3 linked regions of the Oryctolagus cuniculus genome follow. Each later gene encodes a partner of the first gene's protein in a complex. Links are inferred from orthologs where the notes say so. Each region holds a gene or a part of one and is shown in the gene's direction. Other genes may lie near its edges. The genes, in order: LIMS1, RSU1 and PARVA.

Evidence for each region.
Region 2: the proteins of LIMS1 (region 1) and RSU1 are in contact, whole or in part, in a crystal structure (PDB 7LT9), measured with the Homo sapiens proteins. The link is inferred for Oryctolagus cuniculus from reciprocal best matches to the Homo sapiens genes LIMS1 and RSU1. Residues at the interface, in NP_001180417.1 of Homo sapiens: Cys252, Phe253, His254, Cys255, Asn256, Leu267, Asn268, Lys269, Ser279, Thr280, Cys281, Asn282, Thr283, Glu293, Phe294, Asp295, Met296, Lys297, Cys303, Lys306, Phe307, Pro308, Glu310, Leu311, Arg314, Leu315, Lys317, Leu318, Ala319; in NP_036557.1 of Homo sapiens: Asp21, Ser23, Asp24, Gln44, Val46, Ser48, His49, Val67, Asn69, Phe71, Asn72, His90, Asn92, Met95, Glu112, Asp115, Thr117, Tyr118, Arg137, Ala138, Tyr140, Ser142, Asp143, Ile161, Ser163, Arg165, Asp166, Glu184, His186, Gln188.
Region 3: LIMS1 (region 1) and PARVA share a complex: the UniProt entries of both Homo sapiens proteins name them as parts of the heterotrimeric IPP (ILK-PINCH-PARVIN) complex. The link is inferred for Oryctolagus cuniculus from reciprocal best matches to the Homo sapiens genes LIMS1 and PARVA.

What each region holds. Positions count from the first base shown.
Region 1 is NC_091433.1:100,134,593-100,137,986, reverse strand, and holds part of LIMS1 (LIM and senescent cell antigen-like-containing domain protein 1), read left to right. Parts: intron 1-1,167; coding exon 1,168-1,243; intron 1,244-1,437; coding exon 1,438-1,585; 3' UTR 1,586-1,630; intron 1,631-3,394. UniProt on the Homo sapiens protein: Within the IPP (ILK-PINCH-PARVIN) complex, binds to F-actin, promoting F-actin bundling, a process required to generate force for actin cytoskeleton reorganization and subsequent dynamic cell adhesion events such as cell spreading and migration.
Region 2 is NC_091444.1:42,899,951-42,903,596, reverse strand, and holds part of RSU1 (ras suppressor protein 1), read left to right. Parts: intron 1-360; coding exon 361-479; intron 480-2,131; coding exon 2,132-2,214; intron 2,215-2,491; coding exon 2,492-2,606; intron 2,607-3,646. UniProt on the Homo sapiens protein: Potentially plays a role in the Ras signal transduction pathway. Capable of suppressing v-Ras transformation in vitro.
Region 3 is NC_091432.1:53,885,818-53,890,238, reverse strand, and holds the start of PARVA (alpha-parvin), read left to right. Parts: upstream 1-1,571; 5' UTR 1,572-1,682; coding exon 1,683-1,818; intron 1,819-4,421. UniProt on the Homo sapiens protein: Plays a role in sarcomere organization and in smooth muscle cell contraction. Required for normal development of the embryonic cardiovascular system, and for normal septation of the heart outflow tract.

The sequences.
Region 1 (3,394 bases):
CTTTGCTGTGTCTCTGGCGTGTTTCCCAGAGCATGAGGTGACGTCATCTCAGAATCGGATTCCTTCCTCCTTTATGGTGATAGAAACTGCTCCTGACTGACCCAAAGACCTGTTGGAGTTGCCAGTTCATGGAGGCTTTCAGACCACGTTTATTAGGGCTATGAGGAAGGCGCTCGAGCCCCGCCCGTGCTGTGACCTGGTGGTTCGCGGCCCGTGTTGCTAGGACTTCCCACCCTGCACGGCAGTAACCAGGCTGGGCTGGCTGCACTGCCGCGGGAAGGAAGCAGCTGTGTGTGCTCAGTCATGAGCACAGTTCTGCCCGAGACTTCCTGGCAGAGTTTGAAACAATCCTGTTTTCAGTGCGCCTCCTGGTTCTCAGCAGACCTCACCCAACCCAGGAAGTGCGTCCCGAAACACTGCACAGGTGCGGCTTGTGAGAAGGTCAGTGCAGGAAAACCGTCTGCAGTGCCGCGGAGGATAAAACTCGGCTCGCTCCTGCAGAGGCAGTGGAGAGGTGAAGGGAGCCTTCAAGGAAGCGCTTTTCTCATGTTAGCTTTAGAGGAAAGGTCCCTGCCAACAATTTCATGTCTGGATTTTCCTAAAAATACAGACTCTGCAGACTCTGTTGGACCAGTGGCAGCAGGGACTGCGACGTGACTGAGTGATGGTCTAAGGTGCCGTGCAAGGAAAGCTCTTCTGAGTGGCACCGTGCATGTGGGTGGGGCTCCCTTGTCCGCAGGGCGGGGGGGACAAGGTGGCGGACACATATATGTACCTCACAGGATGCCTAAGGGGAAAGTCGGCAATCACATTGACAAGCCCATAATAATCTGCTCTAAATGGATGCCTGAAGTCAGTGAAGACATAAGTGTTTGGGGTACGTGTGTACGTGTCTCTGTGTGTGTGTGTGTGTGTGTGTGTGTGTTTTAAAGAAAATGATGTGAAAAAAAAAGTTCAAGAAATGGGTTGATTCAGTGCACTTCCGTTAATGACCCCGAGATTTTAGCTCTGTGAGTCTCTTGAGAGAAAATCTCTCAAGAAAGAGATTCTTGAGTGCCTCCTCCAAGCGCAGCTGGCAATGGCCATGGCTCCCGGAGTTGAACATGCAAGCTCCCGCTCTCCATGGCAGTGTCTTCCAGTGACCAGGTCTCTCTGCTCTTTCTCTAGTGGTCTCTGCTCTTAACAAGGCCTGGTGCGTGAACTGCTTTGCCTGTTCCACCTGCAACACTAAGCTAACACTCAAGTAAGTCGATGGCTGGTCCCAGGTGAATCCTGAGACTGAAAACTTTGGGAAGACATTTTTTTAAAAACTACTCCTAGAATTAAAAAACGTTGTTTAATCTGTTTCTCCTTTCTCTTCAGCCCTTCTGAAAGTAAAGGTTCTTCCTTTAACTGTTTGCTATTCTTTCTTCTGTTCCTTCTTTGTCCTACTCAAAGGGATAAATTTGTTGAAATTGATCTAAAGCCAGTCTGCAAACACTGTTATGAGAAAATGCCAGAAGAATTTAAGAGGCGACTTGCCAGACGGGAGAGAGAAGCAAAGGATAAGGACAAGCAGAAAAAGAAAAAGCCAGTCTGTTTGTAAACTTTTCTATCCCTTCTGTCATCATTTTTGCTACTTTCCTCTTTGGTTAGTCCTTCAGAATGTGTTTTTTGTTCTGTTTCTTTCGCTTTTTTTTTCTTTTTGGTCTGTATGTGCAGCCGTCAGAGACCGGAATTCCAGGATCTGCCCTTTTGCATGACTATGAACATGGTGACACTTTGGCTGAGGTCTGCACTGATCACCAGCTGTGCTCATGTCTTTCCCTCGGCCTGTACACTCACTCGCCTTTCATTTATTTATTTATTTTTAATTACAATACATCAGAGAGGACTTTTCTTTCAAGGGGAAGAATTCCTGTCTCTTAACAGAGAGTAGGAGAAGTTTTAAAATATTTTAGTCTAATAACACAGCTTTTAGAGTCCTGGTCTTTGGTTTTTTGGCTGAAGACATTTAACTGATAAATCGTAAATATTGTTTGATGTTTTAAAAAAGTGCATGTGTTTGAAGTTCTGTATTCTTTCAGCATGTTTTGTATCCAAGCCAAGTCCTATCTCATTGTCGTACATACCTACTCTTACGGTGTTGCTATATGTCCCTTCACACAGTGCCTATATGCCACTGTTTATGAATTCATTTCCTTGATGTCTTCAAACTCTCTTGTTCCTGGTATTTTTTAAAAAACACTTATTTATATATTTGAAAGGCAGAGTTAGAGAGAAGAAAAGGTGGGAGGGAGGAACATTTTCCATCTACTGGTTCACTCCCCAAATGGCCACAACAGCCTAGGCTGCCCCAGTTGGAAGGCAGGAGCCAGGGTCTCCCACATGGGTGGCAGGGATCCAAGTACTTGGGCCATCTTCTGCTGCTATCCCATTTGTCCATTAGTAGGAAGCTGGATTAGACGTGGAGCAGCTGGGACTCAAGCAGGCATTCCAGGAGGGGATGCTGGTGTCACAAGCAGTGCATTAACTCACTGTACCACAACGCCAGCCCTGAAGAATGCATGAAAGCTTGGACCAGACGTATTAGATGACAGTGTACCTCTGAACGTTTCCACAAACTCTCCCTAAGTGCAATTTCACAGACAATGAACAAGTTATAAAATGTGTATTTAGTTCAAAACTAAAGGGTCTGAATTCCAGCAGTGCTAACTCACTGTGCTTTCCTGCTGGAAGTGCATTACAGATGCGGCTGAGATGGGCTGTCTTCCCCAGGACAGCTTGGTCAGATGCGGCTGAGATGGGCTGTCTTCCCCAGGACAGCTTGGTCAGATGCGGCTGAGATGGGCTGTCTTCCCCAGGACAGCTTGGTCAGATGCGGTGAGATGGGCTGTCTTCCCCAGGACAGCTTGGTCAGATGCATTCAAAGTGTGTATTGCTCTGCTTTAAAGAGCGGGTGGAGCAGGTGTCAGAGGCCACGGTGCAGGCGCCACGTGGGATTCCCACATCCCACACGGGCGTGCTTGGGTTCAGGTCCTGATTCCACTTGCTCAAGTACTGGGGTCCTTGCCTCCCCTGGGAGAGACCTGGCCTGAGGGACTTTGTGCTGGCCCAGCCCTAGGTGTTGCAGGGGTTCCTTAACGTGCTCTCATGGCCCTTAGATTGTGGTTTACTCTACTTCCTAAATTATGTCTACATTGGGTTTCTCTTTACTTAGCACTGAGTGAAACGTAATGTAAATTATTATTCTGTGTTACACAGATAAGCGATCCCATTGTTAGGGGACAGTTTTTAATACTATGAATTTTTTTACGTTTACCACAGAAAGAATTTAAGGTTGGAATTACAGTTCTTTACTAACAGGAATGTAGATGCTACCATATAGTGCTATTAAGAAACATTTTTACATCTG
Region 2 (3,646 bases), on another chromosome or scaffold:
GAAGTACCCTCATTTTGTACATCGTGGTCACCATATTTATAGTTAATAACAATATATGTTGTCTTTCTAAAGAGAGTGGATTTTAAGTGTCCTCACCACCAGAACATGATCAAATATATGAGGTAATACAAATGTTAGGTTTGATTTAGCCTCTCCACAATGTATATATAAATCAAAATGCTATATTGCATACCATTCATATATACAATTTAGACTTGCCAATTAAAATAAAAGTTTAAAAATTTCACACAAAGTAACTCTACAGTCACAAAGCACTGTGTTATGTATTCCGCCCATGAGATAGAGGTGATCCCAGTATATATTTTGTGTGTGATGACCGGCTTTTCCCCCCAACAACAGCATGAATAGGCTGAATACTCTGCCTCGAGGATTTGGCTCCCTACCAGCTCTTGAAGTCCTGGACTTGACTTACAACAACTTGAATGAAAATTCTCTTCCTGGAAACTTCTTCTACCTTAGTAAGAAACTTTTAATTCTATAAATCTCTTTAACGTGGTACTTTGCGTTCTAAGAGTGAAATTTATTTGCCAGGCCCAAACGCTAAGAGAAATGATTGGATATATATTTTTTTCTTCACAGCTTCCATTTGAATATTCCTTCATAGCTCAGCAGTATGTATGTTTGATATATGGGTGTGTGACACCATGGGGCTGAAGTGGACTTAGTAATGTCATACTCACTTTCTGTGGGAGATTATGTATCTAAATGAGAGCAAGTCTCACATTTAGTTAAGAAACTTGACTTTCTTTTTAAAGAGCATGCCAAAAAGAAGCTTTCCCATGTTGCTAAAAAGCTTTGTAGATTGGCCCTGAGATATTATAATCAATTAATTATAAAACTATCCATTAATAAACTGCTATTGGAATTTTAAAAATTTTCTAGTCAAGATTCTTATTTTAAGTATATAAGTACTCTCATTGATTTAGTCTATATTGTCCAGGACACGATTCAAAAAATAAAAAGAACACACTTCATCATTCATGGGCAAGTGAATGTCTTGCTGTTGATGCTCCTCATCATTAAGAATAACTAATTTTCCAGGAATTCATGAGATATTTCAGAAAGAGTTAATTCTTTTAAATGAATATTCTACTTCTCTAAATAGTGACGTATATGACATCTAGAAATTTCTAATTTTCTGAGCTAGTCTCTAAAATTACCTGTGTAATTTTTATCTGAGTACATTCTCTCTGTACCTATGTTTTTAACCTGTGTCTGTTATCTCTCCCAGACTTTGTCAAGCATATGAAACCAACTCTAAAATATTTTCTTGAGCCATAGTATAAAAACTGCCTTTGCTATGTATATTACATACAGCTGTGTTGAATTTTCAACCAGCAGAATTACTTAAATATCTGTAAACAAATTAAACAAAAGTATACAACTACTTTTACTTCCCATTTTGGGTTGAGATCAATGTTCTGCCCCCCCACCAGCAGGTTGAGATCATGTTAGTAACACATAATGTTTTGAACAAAGTGACTCCTTATATTCTGCTGAACTTTGGCTTTACTCTGTTTACCTGATACCATTATTTTATTCCCTTTGTCTTAATATATTTTGTCATTAAGGCTGTAGAATTATATAATAATAATTAATCTGTTTACAGAAATGTTGGACTGTGAGGATGGCTTAAATAAGCACCCAGCAAAACTTTTCATTTATATATTTAGTTCTAACACTGGTTCTGTATACATAAGAAAGTTTTATTTTAACATAGTTCTGTTTACATGAAAGAGCCCTTTTGCTGTAGGGACTGCTGTAAGATTTGTGAATGCAAATGGAGTCAGAGATGTGAATGCGAAGTAATAGGGAAAAGTAGCCATCTTTTCTTAAAATGCGTTCAAACTCTTTGCCAAAAACTGCCGCTGCCCATGGTTGTTAATTGTGTCAGTCCTCCTGGATATAGATGTTTTCCTGGCTATACCAGCAACACAATAAGCCAGTAAATCTAAGTTTGACCTGCTTGTTATTATTGTGAGCCCTAGGTATGTCAGAGGCTTTTCACCAAGCCAGGGTTATTAATCAAAGCTGACTCCCTAGTATTGATCAGACCTCAAATGGTTGGGTTCCATGCCACCCTGTTTATATATTGCTGTTTAATTTGCAGCCACCCTGCGTGCACTCTATCTAAGTGACAACGATTTTGAAATCCTGCCAGCAGATATTGGGAAGCTCACAAAGTTGCAGATAGTAAGTAATTTATCTAAATTCTTAGAAAATCAATTCACTTCTACAGCCCTTGTAGGAGTAGAATCAAGTCAATTTGGGCAGGAGTAAGGTTGGTTTTGCAGGAATAAACCACAACTCCTGCTACTGCTTCTTGTTTAGCCGCAGACACTTGTAAATAAATTGAAAGGCTTGAGCCTCCGAAGAGGCAGAGGAGAGGGCTAGGGAGAGGACGGGAGTTTCTGTTGAGCACCTCTTTATGTGAAATTGTTTTGACAACTCCTTCTTTTCTTGTATTCAGCTCAGCCTTAGGGATAACGACCTGATCTCGCTGCCTAAAGAAATCGGGGAACTTACGCAGCTTAAGGAACTCCACATTCAGGGGAACCGCCTGACTGTTCTGCCCCCAGAATTAGGTAAGGCTGGCTGCCGGTGAATGATCTTAGGTCTGGGTGTAATTAATGATGATCATCCAAGTGCAGTGATTGTGACAAGCTCTCTCCTCGTCCTGGCACATACCCTCCACCTAGGCATCCGATTCTGATCATTTTAAGAGCGTTTGTCATGGACCAGCATTCAGTTGTTTTGCCTTTGACCTGCCTGGGTGCTGGGTTCTGCAGTTGTGCATCCAGCATCTCAGAAACTGCAGCTGAAAGCTGCCCAGCCCAGCTCCCTGCTCAGTTCCGTTGCCTAGCACTTCATGAAGAAAAAGCAGTCCCCTGATTTCCTGGGACAAATGGGAAACTTGACCTCCAGTTGTCCCATTTAGGTTAGTTCTCTGCTGGTGTTCAGAGTCCAGAGGGCTTTATTCTATGATTTTAAGGACTGAGGAGTAACTCTACATCTTCTCTTCATTGAGCTACAAGGGTTAAGTTTTTTGACTTTGGGAGCTGGGTACAGGATCAAGAAAAACTCTTTTGCAAAAAAAATTTTGAGACAAATAACTTCTTGTCAAAGAACAGATTTTGTACAGTGATTGTTAGCCACAGGTGTTAGCATTAGTGATACTTGGGGAGCTTTTGCCAAATACAAGTGCCTGTCCCCATCCCAACCCTATGAGTCAATTCCTCCATGCGTAAGACAAATTCTCACGTAGTTTGATAAAGTCCATTTAATGCCTCTCACCTGTGCCTTTGGTTAGTGTGGTTGGTAGAAATGGAAAAATACATGTGTCTTTGTTGCTGTTTCACTTTTCAAGCAATGAGGCAATGCAGAATATTAAACAGTTATTATCAGTTAGTAATTTGTTAGAAAAATACCTTCCAGAATCTACATATGCCTGTGTATACATTTTAAAAACTTACATCACTTCTGTTATTTAAATACTGTATGTAGTCATATTTCTCTGACATTTCTTTTAAGCTCTCCAATAGTAAAGTATATATTTTTATTCAGGAATAGAATAAAAGGAAAAGTCTTTCAGTGTTTTTGCTAGCTGTGCCTGGAGAAACGTAGT
Region 3 (4,421 bases), on another chromosome or scaffold:
GAGAGAATTCTTCCATCTGCTGGTTCACTCCCCATATGGCTTCAACAGCCAGAGCTGGGCTGATCCAAAGCCAGGATCCAGGAACTTCTTCCGGGTCTCCCATGTGTGTGCAGGAGCCTAAGGACTTGGGCCATCTTCTACTGCTTTCCCCGGGGCGCATTAGCAGGGAGCTGGATCAGAAGTGGAGCAGCCAGGACTCGAAGAGGCTGGGGCTTTAAACTACTGAGCTACAGCGCCTGCCCCAATAAATCTTTTTTAAAACTATGCTTTTATTTGGCTTCTCACTATCTCTTTAAGATCTTTGGGGAGCGGGGCAGAGGCTTATGGCAGTCCTCCCAGGCCAGCAGACATCAGGACTTCTCTGCTTTCTACCAAGTCAAAGGGAGCAACAAAAGTCTCATTTTCCAAAAAGGTAAAATTATGACGCTGCAGCACAGATAAGATGAACCTGTACCCTGCCGAGAATCTACAGACCATCTGGTTAAATTTCAGCTGCTGCACAGTTTGCTGATTGGCTCCAGTTAAGGTGGAGGGGGTTATCAGACTGCTTTATTCGCATCTCCTGGGAAGGAAGCACAGCTGATCTCTGGGACCTGCAAGTGGGGGCTGGGAAGAGACTCCGGATCCAGGTGGCTGCTCCCCGCAGTTTTCCATTACTGGCTGGGATCGCAAGGCTTCCGGAGCTTTCTTTCCTCCACGCTTTTGTTTCTCTACTCATCAGCATGCATGTGCTAAGAGCAGCCCAGCTTTGAACCTCAGCCTGGTGCTCGGATTCCAGATTGGGGCCACCTGACTGGCTGTCAGGCAGGTGTTCCCTGTGGGTCAGGTGTTCACCCAGATTCCATCAGCTGTAGCTACGGGGCAAGAGCCACGAGGAAGAGACGCGGTTGCCCAGGGGGCTGTGTGTGAAAGGCAGACACTGAGAGTCCCACTGAGAACTCAAGATGAGCAAGCACAAGCTTGTGCCTTTGAATCATTTCCAGGATGAGTCCCGAGCGCTGTGTTGTGTCACTCCCCATCACTGTTCTTTTTGTTCAGGCGGGATAAGAGGGGGTGGGGTCGTGGAATTCACAGGAGTCCATACTTGAGCCTTTTCCATTCCCGTTTCCACCCACATGTGGGACCCTTCTTTGTACAAGCTGTTGAAGTGCTAGAAACCCAGATTTCTTGCAAGAACGAGCACCTTGACCCTCCTCTCATGAGCCTCACTTGTAGGTGGACGGCCACGGCTGCGTGCCGGAGTGGCTGTCCGTGTTCGGTGGGCAAAAGCTACGGGACTCATAGCCACGCGGGAAGTGGGGACCCAGCCCCAGGCCAGCTTCGGTGCAGCTCCCAAGGTGTGCCGGGGAGCGTGCTGGACGCAAAGCCCTCGCCGCCTGCAGGCTTACACGGGCCCACGCATACACTTAACAGATGAGGCCACTTGCCCCACGGGGGGCGAATTAGGGGCGTCCTCCCCTCCCCGGGCAGCCCTGGGACACGGGCAGCGCCTTCCCGGGCGGAGGGCGGCGCGAGGGAGGGAGCGAGGGAAGGGAAAGGCGAGCGTGAGCTGCTTCGAATGCTTGGAATAATTCCGCTTCCGTTTGGGAAGCCGCAGCCTCAGTCCCGCCGCCGCCGCCCGCCGCGTCCGCTCAGCTCCAGCGCCGCGTCCCGCCCGGCCCGCGGCTGCCCGCTCCGCCGCCATGGCCACCTCCCCGCAGAAGTCCCCCTCTGCCCCCAAGTCCCCCACTCCCAAGTCGCCCCCGTCCCGCAAGAAAGATGACTCCTTCCTGGGGAAACTCGGGGGCACCCTGGCCCGGAGGAAGAAAGCCAAGGAGGGTGAGTGCGGCCGAGCCGGGGAGAGCTGCGCGGGTCGGGGCCCGGAGGAGCCGGGGCTCCGGGGCCGGGCGGGAGCGCGCGGCGGGTGCCCGGCGTGGTGGGGCGCGCGCTCGCTTCCCGGGAGCGGCGGGCGGGAGAGCGAGGCGCACCCCGCACCGCGGCCCCGCGGGCGCCTAGCCACGGCCGCCCGGCGCTGCCTTCCCGGGCAGGCGCCCCTGCGGGGCCGCGGACGCGCGCCGCGTGGCAGACAGCGGGAGGCGGCGGGACGCGGAGCCCAGGCCTGGACTCGGCTCGTAGGCTGCTGCTGCCGCCGCCGCTAGGCCCGTGTCTCCGCCCTCTCCGCGCCCCAAAGCTGGCATTTCCCAAGTTTCCGCTGAAACTTTTCCTGGGCGCCGTCACGCTCGCGCTCTGCCTTCATTGGTCTGCAATCTGGCCGTTTCCTGTGGAGTCCTCTTGCAGCAGCCTGGCGGCTCTGGCCCCCGCGGCCCTGTCGTCCATCCCTAGGCCTGCGTTGGTGCGGGGGATTAGTTAGCATCGGTCGTTTGCTGAATGAATGCGTGGAGAACTGGCAGTCCTAGCGGTCCCCCGGTGTAGTAATGATAAACTCTCATCCGGGGAAATCACAACAGGCGTGAATTGAGGCGATCGTAATTTTTTTTTCCACAATAATTTGCATGTAATGCATTTTGTCTCGCGGGTGGATTTAGCATCCTGGTCGTGGTTTGGAAAATAAGGCAGCGGTTCTCATGAAGGCGGTTAGTGACAGGTGTGTGGCTATGAGATGCAGGGTTAGGAAGCGTGTTTTATAGACTGCTCATGGACAGGAAATAACCTCTTGGAAAGCTTTGATGCTGACATGTAAAGTAAGTTTTATGTTCTTGAGGTACCTTAAAGCGTGAAAACTTTAATGCTGAGATTGAACCCAGGTCGACCTGAAGAACTGGATTTCTATTCTCTAGACCGAAGGAGGAAGCAGTAAAACACTACTGGTTACAGTAGTCCTTGTAAACCTACCTGCGTCCAAGACCCCCAGTAGATGGAGGAAACCGTACATAGCACTGAACCCCGGATATATACTGTGTTTTCCTATACAGGCATACCTTTGATGACATTTAACTTAAAAAGAGGTTAGCACCAGTAGATGCCACAATTGTAACAATGTTGTAATACATGCTATGTAACCTGGTCTGTCTCTCATCCTCTTGCTTGGTGTGGTTATGTGAGGGGCTGCAATGCGTGTGTGATGATATCAAGTGAGGTGAATGACACAGGCGTGGGGATAGAGCGTCAGGCTTCTGCAGAAGGGTAATTGGAACACAAGCACTGCGTCGACCTCACGACAGTGGATCTGATGACCTTGATGACGGCTAAGCGACTAATAAGTGGGTACCTTATACATAACAGATACGCTGGATAGGAGGATGACTCATGTCCCAAGTGGGACAGAGAGGGGCAGCCCGAGATTCTGTCACAGTATGTAGAATGACATGCAACATAAAACGTGTGAACTGTTTCTGGAATTTTCCAGCTTGTAAGACTGAAGCCTTGGAAAGTGCATGCTCCTATTTTGGTAACCTGTTGAGTAGTATACAGTTGGTGGCAAATCGTGAAATCCTGGCTTGAAAGCCTCTCTCTGAACTGTCCTTCCAGGTTTTTCCTCCAGTTTTCTTGTATAGGCTCATCCTGCTTACGAGTAGACTTAAGAATTATTGAAACTTAGATGTACCATGAATACTCACCCCATCTTGACCAGTTCTATAGGAAAATTGACTTTCTATTTAGCCAAACGTTGATCTCTCTGTACTACTGTTAGTGGGGCCAGGAGAATAGAAAGAACCTCGTGATGGCCTTTCATCTTTTTAAAGTAGACTAGCCTGCTTTCTGGAGTCTTCCCTTAACCAAGCAAACAGCCTCTGCTCTTATAGTTATCCTCAAAGAATGGATGTGGTTTATAAGGCCCTCTGGTATGCTGCCTCTTCAGTTGGAATCAAGGTCACTGCAGGAAGCAAAAGGCCAATATAGTTGGGATTTTGGAAATAATTTAGTGAAGAGACTGTTGACCTAGCTGTGGGCAGGGTTAAGGGAACCAAGAAGGGAGGCTGCTACACCTGTGGGCCAGCAATAGGTAGGAGCTGTTCCCACTCCTGGTCCCAAGGGGCAAGTGAAGCCAACTGGAACCTGGAGGAGGTTGGAGTCCTGGAAGAGAGGCTGCCTGCCAGAAGCTGTCATTGTAGGGGGACTTAGCCATGATCAGAAATGTGCAGGTGGAGCAGAGTGGCACAAGAAATGCAGATTCTTGTGGTGTGGTGGGTAAAGCCGCCCTCTGTGGCACCGGCATCCCATATGGGCACCGGTTCAAGTCCTGGCTGCTCCACTTCCGATCCAGCTCCCTGCTAATGCACCTGGGAAAGCAGCAGCAGATGGCACAAGTGCTTGGGCCCCTGTACTCATGTGAAGCTCCTGGCTTTGGTCTGGCCTAGCTCTGGCTGATGTGACCATTTGGGGAGTGAACCAGCAGATAAGATCTCTCTCCCTCTTTGTCTCTCTATAACTCTGCCTTTAAAATAAACAAAAATCTTTAAAAAAAGCTGCTGGAGAAGATG